Caenorhabditis elegans: one gene and its partner. The protein of the gene in region 1 interacts with the protein of each later gene in a pairwise test. Each region holds a gene or a part of one and is shown on either strand. Other genes may lie near its edges.

Region 1 (9,811 bases):
GCTTCAAAGTCAATGTTCCTCACGAGTTCGGCTTTCAGTGATTCCATTGCAGCTGTCAGTTCCCCGCCTCGCAATGATTTGGTGTCGTATCTGAAATATCTTAAGGATTCTTAGTGTCGATTCTTGAAAAAAGTGTTGCAACATCGCGATTAGCAAAATTTTTTCAGCAAACGTACAAAATTGGCTTTTTTTTAATTATGATAATCCAACTTTTCAATCTTAAATTGATATCGAAATTTATAAAAACGGTTCATTTCATCTTAAAATGTTATTTAATTTTGTCTACAAGCGTTTAAAAACATTAAATAGTGCATGAAAGTTGCCATTTCTATACCAGTTTTTGATTCGAAATATTGGATTATCTTATTGAAACAAGCACGTTTTCCAAAAAGATTTTCTGCACATTCCTGCTACCTACCTTCTCAACACATTGATAGCAGCAGTTCTGCATAGAGACACAACATCAGCTCCTGAGAATCCTTCAGTCCTTGCCGCCAAGTCATCATAGTTAATTTCATCGGATTTCGGAGTTCCTTCCATTGATTTTTCGATAAGCTTCTTTCTTGCATCTATATCTGGCAGTGGAATGAAGATTCGCTTTTCGAAACGTCTTCGGAGTGCCTCATCGAGCTCCCATGGAATATTTGTGGCGGCCAGCACGAATACACGTCGCGAATCGAATTTATTCTGTGACCCGTCCATTTGTACCAGAAACTCGGATTTAACACGCCGACTCGCTTCGTGTTCTCCAGAATTTCCACGTTGTCCACCAAGTGTGTCAATCTCATCGATGAAGATTATGGATGGAGCATAGAACCGTGCAAGTTCGAATAACAGACGAACAATCTTCTCGGAATCACCACGCCACTTGCTGGACAGATCAGTCGAGGAAACGGTAAAAAAAGTTGAACTAGACTCTGAAGCAATCGCACGTGCGATAAGAGTCTTTCCAGTTCCAGGTGGTCCAGCGAGAACCATTGCTTTCCATGGTGAACGGAGACCCTGGAAGAATTCTGGCACCAAGAGTGGAAGAGTGACGGCTTCGTGCAGAACTTGCTTCACGTCGTGCATTCCGATTATATCATCTAAAGACATTGTATTTTCCGTATTTGTAGCCATTGTACCACGCACCGCTTGAACAATGTACTGAAAAGATTTCTGATTTTTGTTTCTGGAAAACATAATAACTTACCGCATCATAAGCCGATGCATCGAATGAATCTCCAGCACTATTTTGAGGCAGTATTCCTTGTGTTGGATTCGCAGGCTTCACATCAGCCGGATTCGTGCTCATCGACGACGTTGACTTTGATATTTCTCTGGGACGTGGACCTGCTGCTCCAACTCCTTTCTTTGTTGCTCCAAATTTCGATGAGGATGGTAACGGTGGCGATGGTTTGGACCAAACATCTGGGTCTGCAGGTGGCTCTGGACTTCCACTTTGTCGCGTCATCGCCTCGTGTAGGTCATCTTCATCGCGCACATTTTGTTGGACAAGCTTCAAATTAGCCTCTAGGGCTCGTAGGAATGTCTGAAATTTCAAATAATTCAACAAGCTTTTAAAAGATTTATATTACGTACATTTCTTGCGTCATGCTCGTCTCTGTTGCTTGCCGAAATTTTACAGCTTTTGACATCTGTCATGAGCTGACGAAGAAGATCACCAGCCTCATTCCATCGTCCGGCATCGGACATTGTTTTCGCGACTTGGGCTCGCTCCAGATATCCGCGAATGACTGACTGCACATCCCCATTCATCCTGAAAATATACTTTAATTTTTCAATAATATACACTTCTACAGACGAGAGGATGAAATTTAGTATAAGACAATGGGATTTGGCGGAGAAGAAAATGGCAAGATGATGAATGATAACGAATAGGGAAACGACGGAACGGAGTGTGCGTGGACTTTATTAGATGGGAGAAGAAGATTGTACCGTGAAGATGAATTTAATATTATTTACAGAATAAAATGGTTGAATAGAAAACGATTTTTCTTTTTTTACTTGATATTGGCTCACTTGTTGGAAACATTGAAAGAGTTTAGCCGCAAAACAACAAGTATTTACAGCGGTAGATCACACAAAAAATGATAGGTCAAAAAAAGTTTTAGGAATTAAATCCTTAGCAAAAGGCTTGAAATCTGAGATCTTTCAGCGAGATATAAATGATTAGAACCTTCTAATTGCATATCACTTGAATAAAACCAAAATTAAGCGGCGAGTTATTGATTTTTCAGAAAACAGATTTCTGCTGGTCAAACCTCAGAATTAGCTCATCCGCGACAAACAATTAATTTACACAAAGCAAAAAAAAAAAAATTGATTAATAAAGAGAAGAAACAAGAGCAGTTTGAAAAGGAAATAATTGTTTCACTTGTTTAACAAAAAAAGATCATAAAGGTATAGACGAAATTTGTGTTGTCCGGAGCCAGTTTGATTTGCACAATTATAGTGTAACTTCTTAAAAGATATCTATAGAAAGCTTTTCATAAAAAGTAAAAAAATAATTGCTCAGGGCTCCGCGGAGCTGGAGCTCCGGAAGTATGGCGCAAAAGTACAAGTGTCGTCAGTTAAAATGTCGAGTACGCAATACACCCCAGACACTGTCACGTCTGAATGCACAATCGCTTGCAATTTGAACACTTTCAATTTTCGAATTTTAGCGGAATTCCGCGGAAAACTTTTACATTTTCTTAAATATTCTTCTCATTTTTTAGGATTATTATTATTAATTGGTTTTTTAAAACTGCCGTGTAGTCCATCATTGTACTGATTCGAGATTAAACGCGTTATTTTTGTTCAAATTCCGAGAAGAAACTCAAGAAACAAAAGGAAATTTTAAACCCTATGGAATTATCAAGTTAAAACCGTAAGAAGTTTTACAGAACTCCCGGAAAAATTTTATTTATCAGAAATCTCAATTTTATAAGTTAATGTTTCTACCGTGCTTACTATATTTTTAATACCACTTCACATGACATTAGTATCTCTTTCAGATGACGGATGTCGCTCGAGAATTCGGGATAGCTGTCAGCGACTCCTCCACGGTCTTCGCCTTCCTAACAGATAAAAAAGGATTTTCAAATAAAGGTAAAAATTGCATCTTCTTCAGTTTCCAACATAAGAGATTTTTCAGAAACAGTCTTGGTCGAGAAAGTTTCACAAAATCGACAAATTCTTGCGACACCAAATCTCAGACGACTTGTTATCGAAATGTATTCTGTATTTGATAAATGTCAAAAAGGCTCCTCACCTGATGCACCTCTAGACACGCCTACTTGCTGCACATTCTCTCGAGCTTATCGTTCAGTTCTCTACAATGCCGCCGTGTCTCACAGCAGTTCCGACTTCATGACAGACTTTGCTTTGTGGTCACTTTACGAGAAATTATGGTTTGGAAGAGGTGATAGCTCGATATGTGCGGATCTTATTTCATGGGCCAATCAGAGCTTCACGTTTTCTAGAGGAGCCATGGAATCAGCTGTGGAATATCTGCATCCGGGGAAGACGATTCCAGAAGAATATTGGAAGGGAGTAGCAGTCAGCTTGCTTAGTTGCAATTTCAGCGATTGTGTTGAACTGTTGGAGCTACATGGAGGCGGATCAGAATGTGATGCATTCATTGAGGCTCTCACATTCTTCAATCCCGAAAACTTAGTCGACGAAGCATTAGTAAGACCCATTTATATAATAATTCTTAAACTTCGTAATATTCTTATTTCAGGCTAACACAGTAAATGAATGGAAGGATATCATGCGTGAAAATTTGACAAGTGGGAAGTACGGGAGCAACGAAAATTTCAAATATCTTACGAAGCTCCTACTCGGTGAGGAACGATACCTCGTATCTATGGCTTCACGGATTTTCGACACGTGGTGGCATTTTCTGCCATTCTTTGTGCTTGTCAAGAATCCATTCGCCGGACATGTCGAGCTCATTGAGCTAGCTGATGAGTGTAGAACACTATTCGTTGGAGAAGAGGAAGAGGAGGGTGCAAAGGAAAATGATGTATTCTGGTGTCTTATTTCGAAGGATGATATTAACTTTCAACAGGTTCTTGTTTTTATTCAAGAAATTAAATTAAATATAAATATCTCTTGAAAATAGGCTCACTATTTCTTTCACGATTAATTAAACGGCGACAGAACATTTCATTCAATTTTATCCCAATAAAAAAAAATCAAAATAATGTTCAAGAATATTTAACAATTTTCTTCAAAATAAATTCTAGATTGTTTTAAATAAGAATTAATTAATTTTACTGAATAAAATTTCAGTTGATTGCCTCGAATCCCTGGCTCGCAGTTCACCTGGTTGATCTTATTCACAAATCCACATTGGATCCCGAGTTTGAAGTGATGAGGAAAATGCACATGTTGGACTACGCCAGTGTTCTTATCTCTCATTCTCCGTTAGTTTTTGAAATTTCTAATTACTGAAAAAACATTTTAAAATATAACTTCACAAATTTTTTATAGTCTGTGGGAAATCGGAGCCGGATATCTTATTGCGTGTGGTACCGAAGGACTTCTACGTCTCGAAACACACATCGAAGGGCTTCACATTGAGGATGATGAGATGGCTGAGCAGTTGCTGGAAATATGTGAAGAGCATCGACTGGAAGACGCGAAAAGTTGTGTGACAAATACAATGACTTTCCGGTATCTGAAGCAAGGACATTGGAGTTCAACACTCGCTTGGGCGTTGAAAACTGGATCCAAAAAGACAATTGACTGGACAGTATCTCGAATTGTTGGTTCAAGTTCGAAGGATGAATTGGCTGCATTAAGAGTTTTATCTTCAATAACCAATCATTCTGTACTCTCACTTCCATCTCTTACCTTCCTCTACTCTTATCAACGATTTGTGAAGATGATGCACTGTGGTGATGTACTGGACTGTGTTCAACATCTGATACCGCTTATTATGATGCCTGATGTTCCAACTCAGTATTACTATGATCTCTTCGATTATTTAATCACGATTATCAAAGAGGATGGGCGTGCTGGAATCCGATTTTCCAAGGAGATTCTCTATGAGCTCTCAACCTTTTTGTCAACGTTTACGCTTGATAAACATCGAGATTTGAATGATAATTATATGAAAAAGGTAAGTTTTATAGACATTTTTATGATCATATAATTATAAATTGTTACAGGTGAAAGTGCTCAAAAAGATGGTAATGCTCAAGTTGACAGACTCGATTGCGAAAGGAATTGCGTGCTCTTGAATAATTTATGAATTAATTTTATTTTATTTACATTTGCCGATGTTCTTTTTTGTTCTGGGATCTCAGAAAATTTAATTTTTTGTATGTGAATAAGGATCACATCTCTTAATTTTTTTACTATTACTTGGTTTTCCACACAAACTCGTTGAATTTCGAGGCCAACCTACCTTCTTTTCGAGTTTTCCCCAGAGATCGATAGTGACCTATGTGCTATGCAACCGTGCCCCATTGCACGTCCACAAGGCCTCGTCAGCTCCCTCGTCCTCTTTTTTCTGTTTCGACAGAAAACTGCTGGAGTTTATGAATTTATGTGGGCGCACATGACTGTGATCTATTGATTTTCTTCTGCTTTTTTCAATAATTCTGAACCATTTCACCCAACCTGTACCCATAATTTCAGGCAGTTGTGTGCTTTGCGCGCAACTCGGCCAGTCATCGACGTGAACGCCACGGCTTCTGCTCGCTGGCGCCAACTCGATTCCACTTCGGTGAGTTATCATTAAAATATTATCAAAAAAAAATTTCTTTTGATTACAGGCAGAGTCTGGTTCGCAGTCAGAACAAAGCGCTAGTTTGTCTGGATCAGAAGTCATGAGTAGTTCGGAGGAGGTTTGTATTATATTTCTATTTTCTGCGGAAAACAATCAGAAAAATCTAAATAGCCGTTTTTTTTAATGATTTATATTTTAAACTATGAATTTAATAACAAGTTTTATGGTCGATTGGTGAAATTTATTTTTAGTTTCGAATCTTTTTTTTTGTTCAGGTATCATGGATCACATGGTTCTGTGGCCTTCGTGGAAATGAGTTTTTCTGTGAAGTCGACGAGGAATATATTCAGGATCGGTTCAATTTGACAGGTCTCAATGAGCAAGTGCCCAAGTATCGACAGGCTCTTGACATGATTCTTGACTTAGAACCAGGTGATATTTTTGCTGACTTCATGTGCCCCCGCAATGTAACCTTTTTCTAGAAGATGACATAGAGGATAACGCAACGAACACTGATCTTGTTGAACAAGCCGCTGAAATGCTTTATGGACTCATTCACGCTAGATATATTCTTACGAATAGAGGAATCTCACAGATGGTCGAAAAGTGGCGTGATCATGACTTTGGAGTTTGCCCACGTGTCTACTGTGAAAATCAGCCAATGCTTCCAATTGGTGAGTTATAAAAAAATCGCTACTTCATTGGTTGCGGATAATTTTTTTTGAGAAAAGTGAAACTATAAAGTACTAAATTTTCCTAATTTAAAAGTGCATTTCCAATAAAATTTAAAACAAATATTTGTTTTTACACTAAAATTTCTGTAAAATTCCAATTTTTCCAGGATTGTCTGATGTTCCTGGCGAGGCTATGGTGAAATTGTACTGTCCACGTTGCAATGATGTTTTCGTTCCACGATCATCACGTCATCAACATACTGATGGAAGCTATTTTGGCACCGGATTCCCACATATGCTCTTCTTTGTTCATCCTGATCTGCGTCCACGCAGACCAGTCACTCAATTCGTTCCAAAGTATGTCAGAGGATATATATTAAGCTAAATATTTGAAAATCCGAAATTCTAATTTAAAAAATCTTTAAAATCTCGGCAATCGAGTAAATCTTTTCATTTCAGTATACCAATTAAACTTTTTGAATAAAAAATGAAGTAAAATATTTGCTTGATTCGAAAACACAACTTAATAATGTTGGAAAATTCAAAACGACTAGTGTCTGAAGGTTATTTTTTCGGCATTCGGCAACTTTCAGGCTCTATTTGAGATCTTTTTTCAAATATTTCAACAAGAATAAGTTGCAATTTCGAATCAATAAAATATTTTGACACATTTCTAAAATCATTTTTAATTCAAAAAGTTGACTTGGTAGACTGAAATTAGAAGATTTACTCTATTGCCGAAATAAGTTGGCTGTACTAAATTAGATTCGAAATAATTTTAGAAATTAGAAGATCAAACAATAATATTTTATCCACTTTAAAAATTTAGCAGAACTTAGTACAATAATAATTATGTTATGTGTAAATTTTTAAATATCAAAATTTTCAGACTCTACGGTTTCAAAATTCATCCTGTTGCTTATGGAGGACAGGAGGGAAACAGCGGCGGAAATACGGCGAATAACGTTGCCGCAGCACAAAACAACACGACTCCAGCCGGGCAACAATCTGGAGGACAATTCAATAATTATGGTCTCTGAGCCACTTTCTTCCTTATTTTTGTTTTGATTTCTTCTTTCCAGTTTCCATTCAGAATGTCCCCCCTCTCAACACAACATCCTTATTTTCTTCATTGTTTCGTTTTTTCTTCTCCCCAAAATTTTCTTTTCCGACAAAACTCAAGAATCCGGCGGTTCTTCCATGCGTGTTTCTCTTCTTTTCTAAATCTGTTCTATTCCAACATTATGCGAATTTAAGAAATGAATGAAACGGTAGATCCCATACATCTCAAAAAGAGTGTTCCTAATTTTCTGTGTAAAAAGTGCAACGTTATTTATTTGTGCCTGTCTTCGTCACGCGGAAACAGCTGGGCGGGAAAGTGCGCTCTACTGCAGTCTCTCAGTCACAGCCTTCGATTCTGCCATCGACGTCATGTGTTTCTTTTCTTTTTTATTTACTATTTGAACGGTTTTAATATCTCCAGTTGATTTGGTTAACGATTAGCACATTGATTTCTGCTTATTTTGAAATATTTCAAAATTACAATTTTTGAAAACGCTCCATATTTTACCTGAAGAAAAAACTTTTGAACAGCTTTTCACATTAATTCCAATATATTTTTAAATTATATTGCATAAACGTGAAATTTTGCGAGGAAAAGGCGATACCCCGGTCTCGATACGCCTTTTTTGTAAAATAAAAACGGACGTGTACCTTTATAGAGTACTGTAATATCAAACTATCGTTGCTGCAAAATTTTTATCGATTTTCAGTGTTTTTCGGTAAAAATGTATTTGTTAAAAAAAATAATAAAAGAAAACGACACAAAATTTTTACAAATCGTGGGAAAAAGTATGAAAAGTCGATAAAAATTCAGTAGCAATGAACGTTTAAAATAACAGTACTTCTTAAAGGCGCAGACCCATTTGTTTTCAGAAAACAATCGTCGCGCCCAGACCGGGTACCGTACTATTGGCGGAAAAAAAATTTAGAAAAGAATATACCAAGTAAATATCAGTTCTCAATTTTAATATATATTTTTCTTGTGAATCATAGTTTAAAAATTCTTCTTTGTTTTTTCTCCAACTCTTCAAAAATTAAATAAAAGCTTTTACAGCTTTGAATCATCGAAAATGAATGGAAAACAGCAAGTCACAAAGAAACCATCAACTGAAGAAGATCTGAGCTTCACGGTTTGTTTTAAAGTCAAAAAATCAATAATAAATATTTTCCAAAGAAATTCAAGGTTGTACCAGATGTTGGTCTAAAAAGTTCACAATTCGAATTTGTGCTTGGTATGCCAATCAATCAATGTATTGCAATGATTCAGCAACATCCAAGAATGCTTACAAAAGTCGAATTGAAGTACAGTAAAAAGGTATAGAAATTAACTAATTATACTTTTAAATAAAGTTAAATTAAATTCAGGATCCATTCTACCAGGATATCATCATCTATATCGGTTCTACAGGAATTCGTCTCTATTTTGATGGCCTTTCACAGCTTATCAAGCTAATTGAAGTGGATAATCTTTCAATGATTACACTTACTTATAAGTATGATACCATCAAAAAAAAAAAACTACAGAAGCTCGTTTAAAACTATTGAATTTAAAACAAATTATGGCGTTTTGAAAATTCGAAAAATTTCAGCCTTGCATAAAATCTGAAAATTGAAAATTCTCTCTGTTGAATTCGGTCGTTTCGGGTCATTGTGAAACTATCAAAGAAAAAAAATCAATTTCAATTGCCAAGATAGTCATACAATTTCTTCATAAAAATTTTCAGCGATACAATCTTCTCTGATCCAAATAACATGGCGACGTTGGATCGGGTCAACGAATTTTTTGGATCGACACATCCAGGATCATATGATGATAAGCACAATATCTATGTGCAAAGTTGGCCGGGATTATCTTTCTGTTTCCCATATGGAGGAGAAAATTCGAATTTGGAAGTCAGGGTACTGTAGTTTGATCTTTTTGGGTATTAAAGTTGGAGTACCGTCTGTGGGTTTTTTCGAATCAAAAATACGATACCGAATATAGTAAAAAATTAAAAGAGTTTTTTCTAACCTACAGCCGCTACTTCACCTTTAATTTCCAAAAAGTTTTTTATATCTCCCAAAAACCGAAATTTCAAACATTCTTCAATTTCAGCCTGGATTTGGTGGAAATCTTCGTTCGCTGAAATATGATGCCAACTCTCAACCAAAACTTACCAAGATGTCCATTTATCGTGGACCAAATCCATCTGAGCCAGAGTGAGAATTTATTATTTATTTCTATTTATTTCTCAAAATTTGAAGATCCGTGGATACTCCATTCTCGTGTTATTGTGGTCAAAATCGGACGAGAAAAGTCGAAGCAATTTGGGAAAATGGGAATATTGTTGGAATTGATATTCAATTTGAT
Region 2 (11,215 bases), on another chromosome or scaffold:
GGGGGATCTCTATTACAAATTATTAGCAAACAAAAAGAAAACAAGGATTATGAACAGTTATGAAACTAAATCTTGCAATTCGTAGTGAAGAACAAATATAATTATAGCGAGAACATCAAAAATAGCATCTACCGGAATTTTAATTGGAAAGGAGACACTGGGGAACGTAATAGAAATTAAATAACTAAATGAATCTTGATATGAACAATGAAAGTTTCTGGTGAAAAACGGCCCTAATTTTTCATAAACATTTTACGGAATTGATCATTTGAAAGTGGCTGAGACGTTGAAGTGCCTTCGGAAACATCCATTGCGTCCAGCCGAGCAGTGATTTGAGGAGTTTTGTTTGCTGAAAATGGATTTTTTTATGCTAAGCTGGGAACTAAAGATGATATACTTACTAATAGCTCTGGGAACCAATTGCAGTTTTGCAGCATGTCCTTTTCTAGGTCCATCTTCTTCCAAACTTGCTCCAATTGCTGCTGGTTTTCCATGCGATTTATCCTTTTTTACTGGTGGATTGGATAACGCTACCTCTAGTTCTCTTTCTCGAAGCATCAATTTATCACCAGAAGCAACACATTTTTGAGCACTTGCTTCTGTGTCAAAATCTACGAATGCGATTCCTTTTGGTTTTCCATCTTTATGAGTCACGCGTCGAACACTGGTTACTGTACCGAATTTCGAGAATAATGCCTGAAATGTATCGATTTAGAATATAAAATGATAGATAAGTATATATTACCTTTAACTCATCGTCGGTTGCCTGGAAGTGGACATTGCGAACGAAGACTTTCGATTTTTCAAGAGTGGTTGAGAATTTGAATCCAACCCGTTTTTCTGGATCGTTGGCGGAGATCTGAATTTTCAGAAATTAAAATTTCACAAATATTTATAAAGTAAAATTAAAACTTACAAACATTGGCCTTCCCTTCACAGGAACTCGATCTTTCAAGAGAGCTTGCTGTGCCTTCTGATCATTCTCCATTACAACATAGGCGAACCCTCTGTGCACAAGATCCGAATTCGCTTTTCTTGCGAATCGAATTGAAGCAACACCTTCAATGGCTTGTCGAATTTCGTCTTCCGTCGTAGTGAAATCGAGATTAGAAACAAAAATTGTGCGAGCATCTTCCGTTCCTGGAGCTGCTTTCTGAACTGCAAAGGAACCTGGAGCTGGTGTCGACGAAGCATTTGAAGAGGATACAGCTGATGAACTTTTCGCATTGGATGGTGGAAGTGGAGCTTTGAATCCTAAAATTTAATTCAAATTAACTTCTTTACTTTTAAAAATTATTTACCTCCGTCGTCTCCTTTCACTTTTTTTACAATTGGTTCACCTCCCGACGTTCTCTTCTGAATATGATCTTGCTTTGATTTAGGAGCTGGAGCTGGTTTCTCAGAAACTTTCTTTTGTGGTCGAATGGCTCGATGAGCAACCTGTGAATTCACTTTCTCAAGAACCAAATCCAACTCAGCCAATGTTCCTTCTTCTCTTTCAAATTGAACATAGTACATATAGATTTCGTTGATGTTATCCGATACAGAATTGAGAGCTTTGTTTAGATATTTTCGAGCATTTTCTTTATCACCGAATTGTCGCTCAAGACGAACAGCTTCAATCCATTTTCCGGCAAATCTTCCGAATCCTGATGCAAGAATATCATTCCAGATATTTCGACATTTGTCCATGTTCTTCATTAATGAAGCATAGAAATATGCTTGCATTTGTCGATAATCTGCTGTAGTATCCCAAGCCATTGAAAACCATTCTCTGAGTAGCGCTGCACCTTCATCAAACACTTCAGCCATTGGAGAGTAATCCGAAGAACCAGTGAGATGAATTCGACGGCGAAGCAAAAAAGCATAGGTACGGTAAAGACTCCGTCCTTCTTCGGCAGAACTGAAATTACACCGAATAAATATATAAGACTACTGTATGTATTCAAAAAAGAAACTAACTTGATAACATTGCTTCTTGCTCGTTCCCATAATGCATCAATTTCCTCATTTGGCCGACGATCTCGTTCGAAGGCGAGAAGAGCTTGTTGATGGAGAACAAAACTGTATGGACAATGACGCAGAGCTCGAGAGTACACTTTTACAGCAACCTGAACAAAATAATTCAATAATCCAATGGAAGCTTTAGTAAAATAATAATATTCAACAATATTTTTTTCGAATCTTAAAGATAATTATAATCTCTAGACAGACCTCTGGATATTTCCGATAATTCTATAATAAAAAGTATTTCCTTACCTGTGGCAATTTAAGTTCAATATCTGCCCATGCTCCATATGCAATCCAAGCTTCCTCGTCATCGTCCAACTCAGAAACAAGCCTCTCGTGAGCCATTTTTATTCTACTAGGAATTCCACTCTTCTTCTCGTGATCAAAAAACTGTTTCAGACCTTGCTTTTTGGTTTCTTCCTGTTGAATGAGCTCCTCGAACTTTGACAATTGTTCCTTCTGTCGCATTGTTGAATTATATGTCTTTTTCAGTTCTTCGAGTTTATGATGTTGTTTGAATTCTGTGCAGAATTGTTCAGCTAAAACATAAACATCTTCGAGCTGATCTGTTGGGCAATGAAGGGCTCTCTCGAACAGAGCGAAAACTTGATCAGCGAGTCGTTGATAGTCAGGAGCATTCATAGAATCTGAAAATTATAAATTGTTGATGAAAGTACAGTAGTAAGCTCACTTTTCAGGTAGCTCATTTCATATTCCAGAAAAATCAGCCAAATGTGCCCTCCAGAATCGTACCGAGTTCCAAGGTTTTCAAGAGCTTTGCTACAAACCTGTAAAATTATAATAATTACATTTTTCAATCAAAACTTACATCTCGGCAAAACTTGAAATCCTCTTTTTTGTTTTTGTCGTTCGCAACCTTATATGCGTACATTGCTCTTTCGACCCAAATAGTGACATCGTTCTCATCAAACAGAGCTTTTTCAAACATTTCCTCGACTTCTGCGACACTTGGCTCCGGTTTTCTGTTTTGAAAATCTCTGAAATCAGTTTTTAAAAAATTATAATTAACCTATTTTTTTTAACTTACTCAATCCAGTTTTTCCAATTTAATGGATTAAGTGGGGCCCATTCGACAAATTGCCTCCTTTTGATATCAAGCTCGTCGAAGTCACCATTTTTTCGCAATAAAATCAATAATTGGTTTGCAAGAACGACACTTTGACTATCGTCGATCATCTGAAATTGTATTTTGTGTATATGAAGTATATTCGATAATTAGTTCATACCTTTTGCTTGATTTTTTGAATTTCTTCATCCAGATCCTCCATTCCGGAATCATCCGAGCCGGATTCCATATCCACATCGGACATCTTGCAGAATTTTGATGGAAACTGATACAAAAACAATAAATATTAAAATAAGAGAGAAACAGTGCAGAAAAAGCACGGAAATAACGTTTCGAATGCAAAAGTGCGATAGAGCGCGAAAGAAACGGATTTTTTAGAAGAAAAAATATTTTCTCTCCGTATTAAAATATAGTTAGCCAGAATCAAACTGATAAAAAAACAACAAAAAATTCAAATCCATGCAAGCTTTATAGAAATAATCACGGGTAATACTTATGCAATAAATAAAATTTTGCAATCCATAAGCTGAATGAATATTTACAACAGAAATGAAATGTGTGCGGGTGAGGAATGATAATATTGTACATAAAGGCTGGAATAATAGTTTTGAAGATTATTTTTCATTCAATCCGAACAGCATCTTGATATCTGCCGTCGTCAATTTGTTCATCTTGCGAGTAGCATTTCCGTCGAGAACAGACGAAGCTAGCGCGACTTTGTCCTTTTGCAGCATTACAACTCGTTGTTCGATCGTTCCTTTCGTAACCAATCTGCAAGATTAACACACATATTATGAATTTAATTTTCTTGCCGCAATCAACGAACCTATGAATGAAAACATCCTTCTTCTGCCCCATTCGATAAATTCTATCGAAAGCTTGCTGTTCGAGAGCCGGATTCCAATGCAAATCCACCATCACTAAATGATTTCCACCTGTCAGATTGAGCCCAACACCTCCCGCGGCCAGAGAGAGAAGCATAACTCGAGCACCACCTTTCTCCCGATTAAAGCTGTCCACTCTCTCTTGACGATCCTTGACCAGAACTTGTCCGGTAATTGATGTATATTTGAAACCACTTGATTTTATGTGAATTTCGATCAAATTGAGAACCGATGTCCATTGAGAAACAATGACACTGAAAAACATAAATTTGAATTTATTTTCAACTTGGTGAAAACATACACTTTCTCTTTCTTCTCCATAATGTTCTCAACAATTTCAAGTGTATTTTTAATTTTACAGCTCAGGTAGTCCGGATCGAAAATTCGTGTTGTAGCCCTCGGTTTGTCTCTTTCTTCATTGTCACCATTTCCCAACGTCATGTTCATAGTTTTCTCCAGTAACTCATTCAAATCGTCCACATTCGCTTCCTCCGCATTGTCTCCACCGATTAAGCTGAAAGCGTCCATGTCGACTCCTGTTTTTGTGATATTGAAATGAACACAAGCTTGTCGAAGACGAAGAAGAAGCATCAAAACACATGACATCTTTTCGAAGTTCGAGCCGGCTGCCAAATCACGTGGACCAACTGAAAATATTCAATATTAATTTTTTAAACATCACAGATTCTTACAATTGAAAGGATTCTGAACTTCTCCTTCCTTTCCTGCTCTTCTATTGCGACGAGGAATAAATCCATGATTTTTCATATCATTGGAATCTTGCAGAAGTTTTTTGACGAATTTTCTGAAAATTTGTTTTATGATTTTCGCCAATGTTACAAGTGAGTCACTCACTTGGCAGCCTCCATCATAATCTCATAAGCCTGTGCTTCATCTCCGTCCAACTCCAATTCGTGGACTTCTACATTTTTCGGTGGTAACTGAACTAGTTTCTGGTTTGTCACAGCACATGTTTGATCCTTTGTACGACGAAGAAGCAGGTTCTTTGTGAGCAAATTTACGCGATCAGCCATTATTGGTTTCATTGGCATGATCGATTCTTTCCAATATTTATCGTCACTGAATGGACGAATACGCAAGAATCGAACGAGACTGTAAAGATCCCAGAGATTGTTATGGATCGGAGTTCCAGAAAGGCACCATCGAGAGAATGCTGATAAACGACAGACAGCTTTCGAAGCAAGAGACTGCCGATTTTTGATGGTATGCGCCTCGTCAAGAATGACTCGAGACCAACAGATCTGAGCAAGAACGGAGTCGTCTTTTCCAACTGCTCTACGAATTCCAGTATGATTTGAATCCGATTCACCGTCAGATGAATCATCTGCTTTTGATTTAGTCCTTATTTTTTCGATTAATTCATTTGCGATAAGATTGAACGTGGTGATGACGACATCGTATCGAGCAAGACGTCTTGCATCGATGTCCCTCTGCTTTTTTGTGCCATGAAACATGTATGTCGATAGAACGCTGTCATCTAGTCTTCTATCGATTTCAGCATCCCATTGATGAATCAAACTTGCAGGAGCAACAATCAATGTTCCATTCGACGGAATTAGTCCTTGCTCTTTTACCACTTTACGTTTTTCTTTGTCTTTATCGTCATTTCCATCTTCTCTGCGAGCTCTACGAGCAGCTTTTTGATGGGCGATGAGAGAAATCATCGAAAGCGTCTTTCCTAAACCCATATCATCCGCAAGAATTCCACCAGGCTGTGGTTGAGTTTCTCTCCAACGCATCCAGGTTAGGCCTGCCTTTTGATGTGGCATCAGTTCAAGTTTGAATCCTTTCGGAGTGTCCGTGAGCTCAGTTTCATCGGGGATTGTGTGAGTGGCCCTGAAAGAGGATACACATTTTCACACAGCTTCGAGAAAAAGTTAAACAAGACTTACTCAGCAAGTTGTCGAACTACTCGATCAGAAACGAGTTGTATGCGTTTGTATTTTTCATCGGTCATCTTTCCAGACATCATTTTCTTGTTGTCCTTCTCCAACATGGCATTGAAGTCTGGCTGAGGAGCTTTGAGAGGATCCACGATATGTCTTTTTGGCAACAAACCATTTTGAGTCATGACAGATCCGGAAGGGAACTTTGGAGCCACCTGTCGATGACTCGGTTCATCATCTTCAATCACGAAGATTTCATCATCCTCATCATCGTCGACGATCTCTTCAGCAAGTCCCATTTCTTTTCTTCTCTCCACTTCATCATCAAGCTCTTGAAATTGTTTAATTACCCGTCTGCCACCATCAGGTAGATCTAATGATAACGAAATTAATCCCATAACTTTATTCTTTTTCGCCAAAAGCTCTTTGTAGGAAAGCTTCGCGTACTCCGAGTTAATTGGCGAAGTTGGCAGTCGTGGACGTTGTGGCTCTGGTGGTCTCGATGAAGTTGTTTTTACTGGTGTTACATCAATAATGTCGCTATCATCCAAGTTAATGGCAATCCCTGATTTCCGTTTTTCATTCGAAACAACTTTCTCTGGAGTCACTTCGATAATGTCACTATCATCTTGTTTAGCCGTTGTTCGAGGTGCAGGAAATGATTCATCAACTATTTCTTCTCTTCCGCCAATATCGTTTATTGCCGTGGAAGTAGCTACTTTCTGGACATTCTGAAATTTATTATATTAATCGCCAATATGAAATTGAATTCAAACACTACCAAAAATGTGCTCGAGTTATATTCTGATGAACGGCGATCACTTTTAGCAATAGGAGAAAGAGCTGTTTCAAAAAGTCCAGTGGAAACTTCTGGTGATTTCTTGACGTCAGCAGACGATCCCCATCCACCTCCAGATGCAGCTCTCGTTGGCGAACTATCCTCGGCATTTTGCTTCAATGATTTGCGGAGGAGACGTTCACGAAGCTGAGCTTTTGATCGCAGATCAGTGGATTCCGCCAGTTTTTTGCTGATTGGAGTCAGTGGCTTGTTCTCGTCATATTGTACAAAACTCCGACTGCGATCATGGCTCTCGTGGTTTTGCGAGGAGCTTCTGGAACTTCCATATGAAGAACCGAGTCTCGTTGAAGCATTCGATTTGGATTTTGGCGTCGAAGTGGCGAAGCTATTTGTGCAATGCGATGCTGTTGAAGATGGTGTATTGACAATAGGCGAATTTACAGATTTCATCGACTCATCGACAACTGAATCTTCCTGGTCGTCACTTTCTTTTGACTGGCGTTGAGGACTGGATCGGCAGATGAAGTCATCGATCTGAAATTAGTCCTCAGTTAACGTTTTAAAAATAAAAACCCACTTTCTCATCTGATTGAGAATCGTCTGAAGATGTATCAAACATTATTCTTGTTCGACGTGGCGAACTCATCCTGAAAGAAATCAGAATTAAAATTACTTTTACAATATATATCTAGTAAAGAAACAAACGGTCACGAATTTAGTCCAACTTTGAAAAGAATATGTACTCAGAACTCAACGTTTGAAAATGGCGGTGAAATTGGAACACAAATGGCCGAGGAAAACTAACATTTTCTGCCACATAAAATGAAGATATTTGTTTCAAAACAGAAAACGGTATCGCAGATGCGTTAATAATTAAAATAAACATTCAAATTTACCATGTTTGAACTAATTTTGATCAAGAATTTGTTTGAAAATAGAAAAATACAAGAGCGTTTCAAGCAAGAGCACGAGAGAGAGACAAATAATTTTTTCGCGCGCGCGCGCCGTGAATAACAAACGTGGTACTGTAATCGTTGCGAGACCTCCGACTCCAATAGCATAATGTTCCTACATGTTTTTCACTGGAACATTTTATTTTTAATTTAAATTAAATAAATAAATAATTAATATTAAATCGCAATTTTACGCTGAATGAAAATAATACGGAAGTTTTTATCAGATCATCAATTTTAATTCATACTTTGGGCTCGAGTTATTTCCCAAATTGTGATTGAACAGGTTTCGTATCTGAATCCTGCAACTTTCAGTACATCAGATACGATTTTCAAGCAGCGACACCTCAGTTTATGGATCCTGAATGTGCCTTTCATAAATTTCATAATACTATTTCAATAATAAATTCATAATACTAATGTAATACTAATTTCATAATACTAATGTATAGAGGCGCATTAAAACAAATAAGTATTGGGCCGAAACCTTTTTTATAAATCTGCGAACTTCTGACGAATTTGTAGTTCGGTTCTCCGGGCCTTCAAAATGATACAAAAAACAAATAAAGAAAACAATTTTATTTTACACAAGGACTGGATTTATGCATTTGTGGCCCTAAAGAGGGCCGTTGGGTTCGGTTAAGTTTTGAGATTAAGCTTGCTCAACTACCAAAAAAGGTATTTAAGCGCGCTCTCCTCGGATGCGTCTGGCCAATTGGATATCCTTTGGCATGATGGTGACTCGCTTAGCGTGGATGGCACACAAGTTGGTGTCCTCGAAGAGTCCGACAAGGTAAGCCTCGGCAGCCTCCTGAAGAGCCATGACAGCGGAAGATTGGAATCGAAGATCGGTCTTGAAATCCTGAGCAATCTCACGAACAAGGCGCTGGAATGGTGCTCTGCGGATTAGAAGTTCGGTTGATTTCTGGTAACGTCTGATCTCACGAAGAGCGACGGTTCCTGGGCGATAACGATGTGGTTTCTTGACTCCTCCGGAAGCTGGAGCCGATTTGCGGGCAGCTTTGGTGGCCAATTGCTTTCTTGGAGCCTTTCCTCCGGTCGATTTACGGGCGGTTTGCTTGGTACGAGCCATTGCGTTTAGGTTGATAATCCGTGGGGACTGTAAAAAAGAGAAACCAACGACTGACTTTGTACGCAGCTGCGGTGGGAGGGCGGGCGGGCGCACTTCTGTCCTTGTGGCAATTAGAACATTCGGTGTGTTACAGACAAAGGAAAGGTGTCCTCGCAGAGTGGTGCAATGTGACTCCGCCTAGCCACCACAGCTGTGTACAAAAGGAATACTGTGATGTCATTTCTTCATCTCACTTGTGAGTCTTCAACGAATTCAACAATGTCCGGACGTGGAAAGGGAGGAAAAGGCCTTGGAAAAGGTGGTGCCAAGCGCCATCGCAAAGTTCTCCGTGATAACATCCAAGGTATCACCAAGCCAGCCATTCGCCGTCTCGCCAGAAGAGGAGGAGTCAAGAGAATCTCCGGATTGATCTACGAGGAAACCCGTGGAGTCTTGAAGGTGTTCCTTGAGAACGTCATCCGTGATGCTGTCACCTACTGCGAGCACGCCAAGAGAAAGACCGTCACCGCCATGGACGTCGTCTACGCTCTGAAGCGCCAAGGAAGAACTCTGTACGGATTCGGAGGATAATTATTATCTTTTCTGTTTTCATACAAACCAAATACCGAACCCAACGGCCCTCTTTAGGGCCACAAATATCCAAAATCCTAATTGATCTCGTTAAATAAATCTTAAATAATTTTGATTTTTCTATTTTAGCATTTTCAAATACAAGTTGACATGATATTTTCTTTATTGCTTTGCACAACTACATACTTTTTTTAAATTTAAAATTAGAATTGCATGCAAGTAGACATTCGGTATTCGATTTTCTTCGTTCGTTCTCAATTTTATTTACAAAAGGGTATATGAAAGTCTGCACAGTTTTGTTTCCCGAACCATATGAATTCACTTTATAATTCAAGTTGGTGATCGAAATGATTTAGATATCCAAGAACATGAAGCGGAAGAAAGCTTGAAGCCTGAAAACCAGTGCCTGAATCATATATCTCGCCTGATATCGGAAATCAAGTAATTATTTCATAGCGTTTTTTCAAACTTCTTGTAATTTGATGTAGTAATAGTTTTTCATAACATTTTTCAACCAATTTTGTGAGATGACCCGAGATTTTTCCAACAAGATTGAAAACCGAAAGTTTTTATAAGCCTCGGCCATTAGCTTCCCTTTCTCTGTGCAACTTCATAAACTACGGAAATACAAGTTTTTGGAAATATTCGAAGAATCCCATCTACAATTTGAAAGATAGAATTCCGAAGATGCTTTGAATTTCTCTCTCTGAAAGAATGACTTTTAGAAAATGAATACTGGGTTAATCTCAAATTAACTGAACTTGGAAAATGCAAAACCTGAAAATTATGAAAGAGTATAATTGAAAATTATTCATTCACTTGGTTAATAACATAGGATTATAAGATTTGTGGCCCTAAAGAGGGCCGTTGGGTTCGGTGGGGTAGTTTTCAGCCTAATGGCTTACTTGCTGGAAGTGTACTTGGTGACGGCCTTGGTTCCCTCAGACACGGCGTGCTTGGCAAGTTCTCCTGGGAGAATCAAACGGACAGCGGTTTGAATTTCGCGGGATGAGATCGTTGAGCGTTTGTTGTAATGAGCAAGACGGGAAGCTTCCGAAGCGATGCGTTCGAATACATCGTTGACGAAGGAGTTCATGATAGACATGGCCTTGGAGGAGACTCCGGTGTCTGGGTGAACTTGCTTGAGAACACGGTAGATGTAGACGGAGTACGATTCCTTGCGGGCATGACGTCTCTTCTTTCCGTCCTTTGGCTTGGCAACGACGGTCTTGGCGGCCTTCTTGGCTCCCTTGGCAGATGGCTTTGGTGGCATGATGAGAATGAACTTGAATCAAGTATGAGGAAATGGTTGGAGAGACACCTATTTATGTAAAAACTGCGGTGGAGGGGCGGAGCTTCCCGCGGGGACACATTACTGAGTGCACACAAAATTCCGAATGTACCGAGGTTAATAGGGGGACAAAGAGAAGTGAGAGAAATGTGTCCTACCAGAGAGTGCGGAATGTTCAAATAGAGGTGTCCCCGCATGAAACTCCGCCCCTCCACCGTAGAAATGAATATAAACAGACAGTTTCGATTCATTCTTCAGATTCGTCTTACGAACACCAATCGCTCATCATGTCTGGACGTGGAAAGGGAGGCAAAGCCAAGACCGGAGGAAAGGCCAAGTCACGCTCATCAAGAGCTGGACTTCAATTCCCAGTCGGTCGTCTTCACCGTATTCTTCGCAAAGGAAACTATGCTCAACGTGTTGGAGCCGGAGCCCCAGTCTACTTGGCCGCTGTTCTTGAATATCTCGCTGCTGAGGTTCTCGAGTTGGCCGGTAACGCTGCCCGTGACAACAAGAAGACCCGTATCGCCCCAAGACATCTTCAACTCGCTGTCCGCAACGACGAGGAGCTCAACAAGCTTTTGGCCGGAGTGACCATCGCCCAAGGAGGAGTTCTTCCAA

The links.
Region 2: the proteins of npp-2 (region 1) and F54E12.2 interact in a two-hybrid assay, tested with the Caenorhabditis elegans proteins (2 studies listed by BioGRID).

The regions. Positions count from the first base shown.
Region 1 is NC_003279.8:8,286,829-8,296,639, reverse strand, and holds npp-2 (Nuclear pore complex protein Nup85), read left to right. Parts: upstream 1-2,999; coding exon 3,000-3,093; intron 3,094-3,139; coding exon 3,140-3,675; intron 3,676-3,727; coding exon 3,728-4,057; intron 4,058-4,281; coding exon 4,282-4,415; intron 4,416-4,482; coding exon 4,483-5,113; intron 5,114-5,162; coding exon 5,163-5,234; 3' UTR 5,235-5,341; downstream 5,342-9,811. Other genes in the region: Meiotic spindle formation protein mei-1, read right to left, coding at 1-99, 419-1,146, 1,193-1,531, 1,582-1,758; kin-10 (Casein kinase II subunit beta), read left to right, coding at 5,826-5,843, 6,001-6,157, 6,208-6,399, 6,567-6,756, 7,289-7,439; phaf-1 (PHAF1 protein T01G9.2), read left to right, coding at 8,532-8,591, 8,636-8,776, 8,827-8,954, 9,186-9,360, 9,557-9,660, 9,706-9,811.
Region 2 is NC_003282.8:11,329,531-11,340,745, forward strand, and holds F54E12.2 (Transcription termination factor 2), read right to left. Parts: upstream 7,335-11,215; 5' UTR 7,334-7,334; coding exon 7,265-7,333; intron 7,222-7,264; coding exon 6,670-7,221; intron 6,620-6,669; coding exon 5,895-6,619; intron 5,839-5,894; coding exon 4,837-5,838; intron 4,787-4,836; coding exon 4,674-4,786; intron 4,629-4,673; coding exon 4,283-4,628; intron 4,236-4,282; coding exon 3,924-4,235; intron 3,869-3,923; coding exon 3,712-3,868; 3' UTR 3,550-3,711; downstream 1-3,549. Other genes in the region: sart-3 (Spliceosome associated factor 3, U4/U6 recycling protein), read right to left, coding at 234-349, 402-696, 746-859, 917-1,254, 1,302-1,903, 1,963-2,111, 2,260-2,657, 2,702-2,798 and 3 more; his-55 (Histone H3), read right to left, coding at 8,323-8,733; his-56 (Histone H4), read left to right, coding at 8,992-9,303; his-58 (putative histone H2B 4), read right to left, coding at 10,205-10,576; his-57 (Histone H2A), read left to right, coding at 10,882-11,215.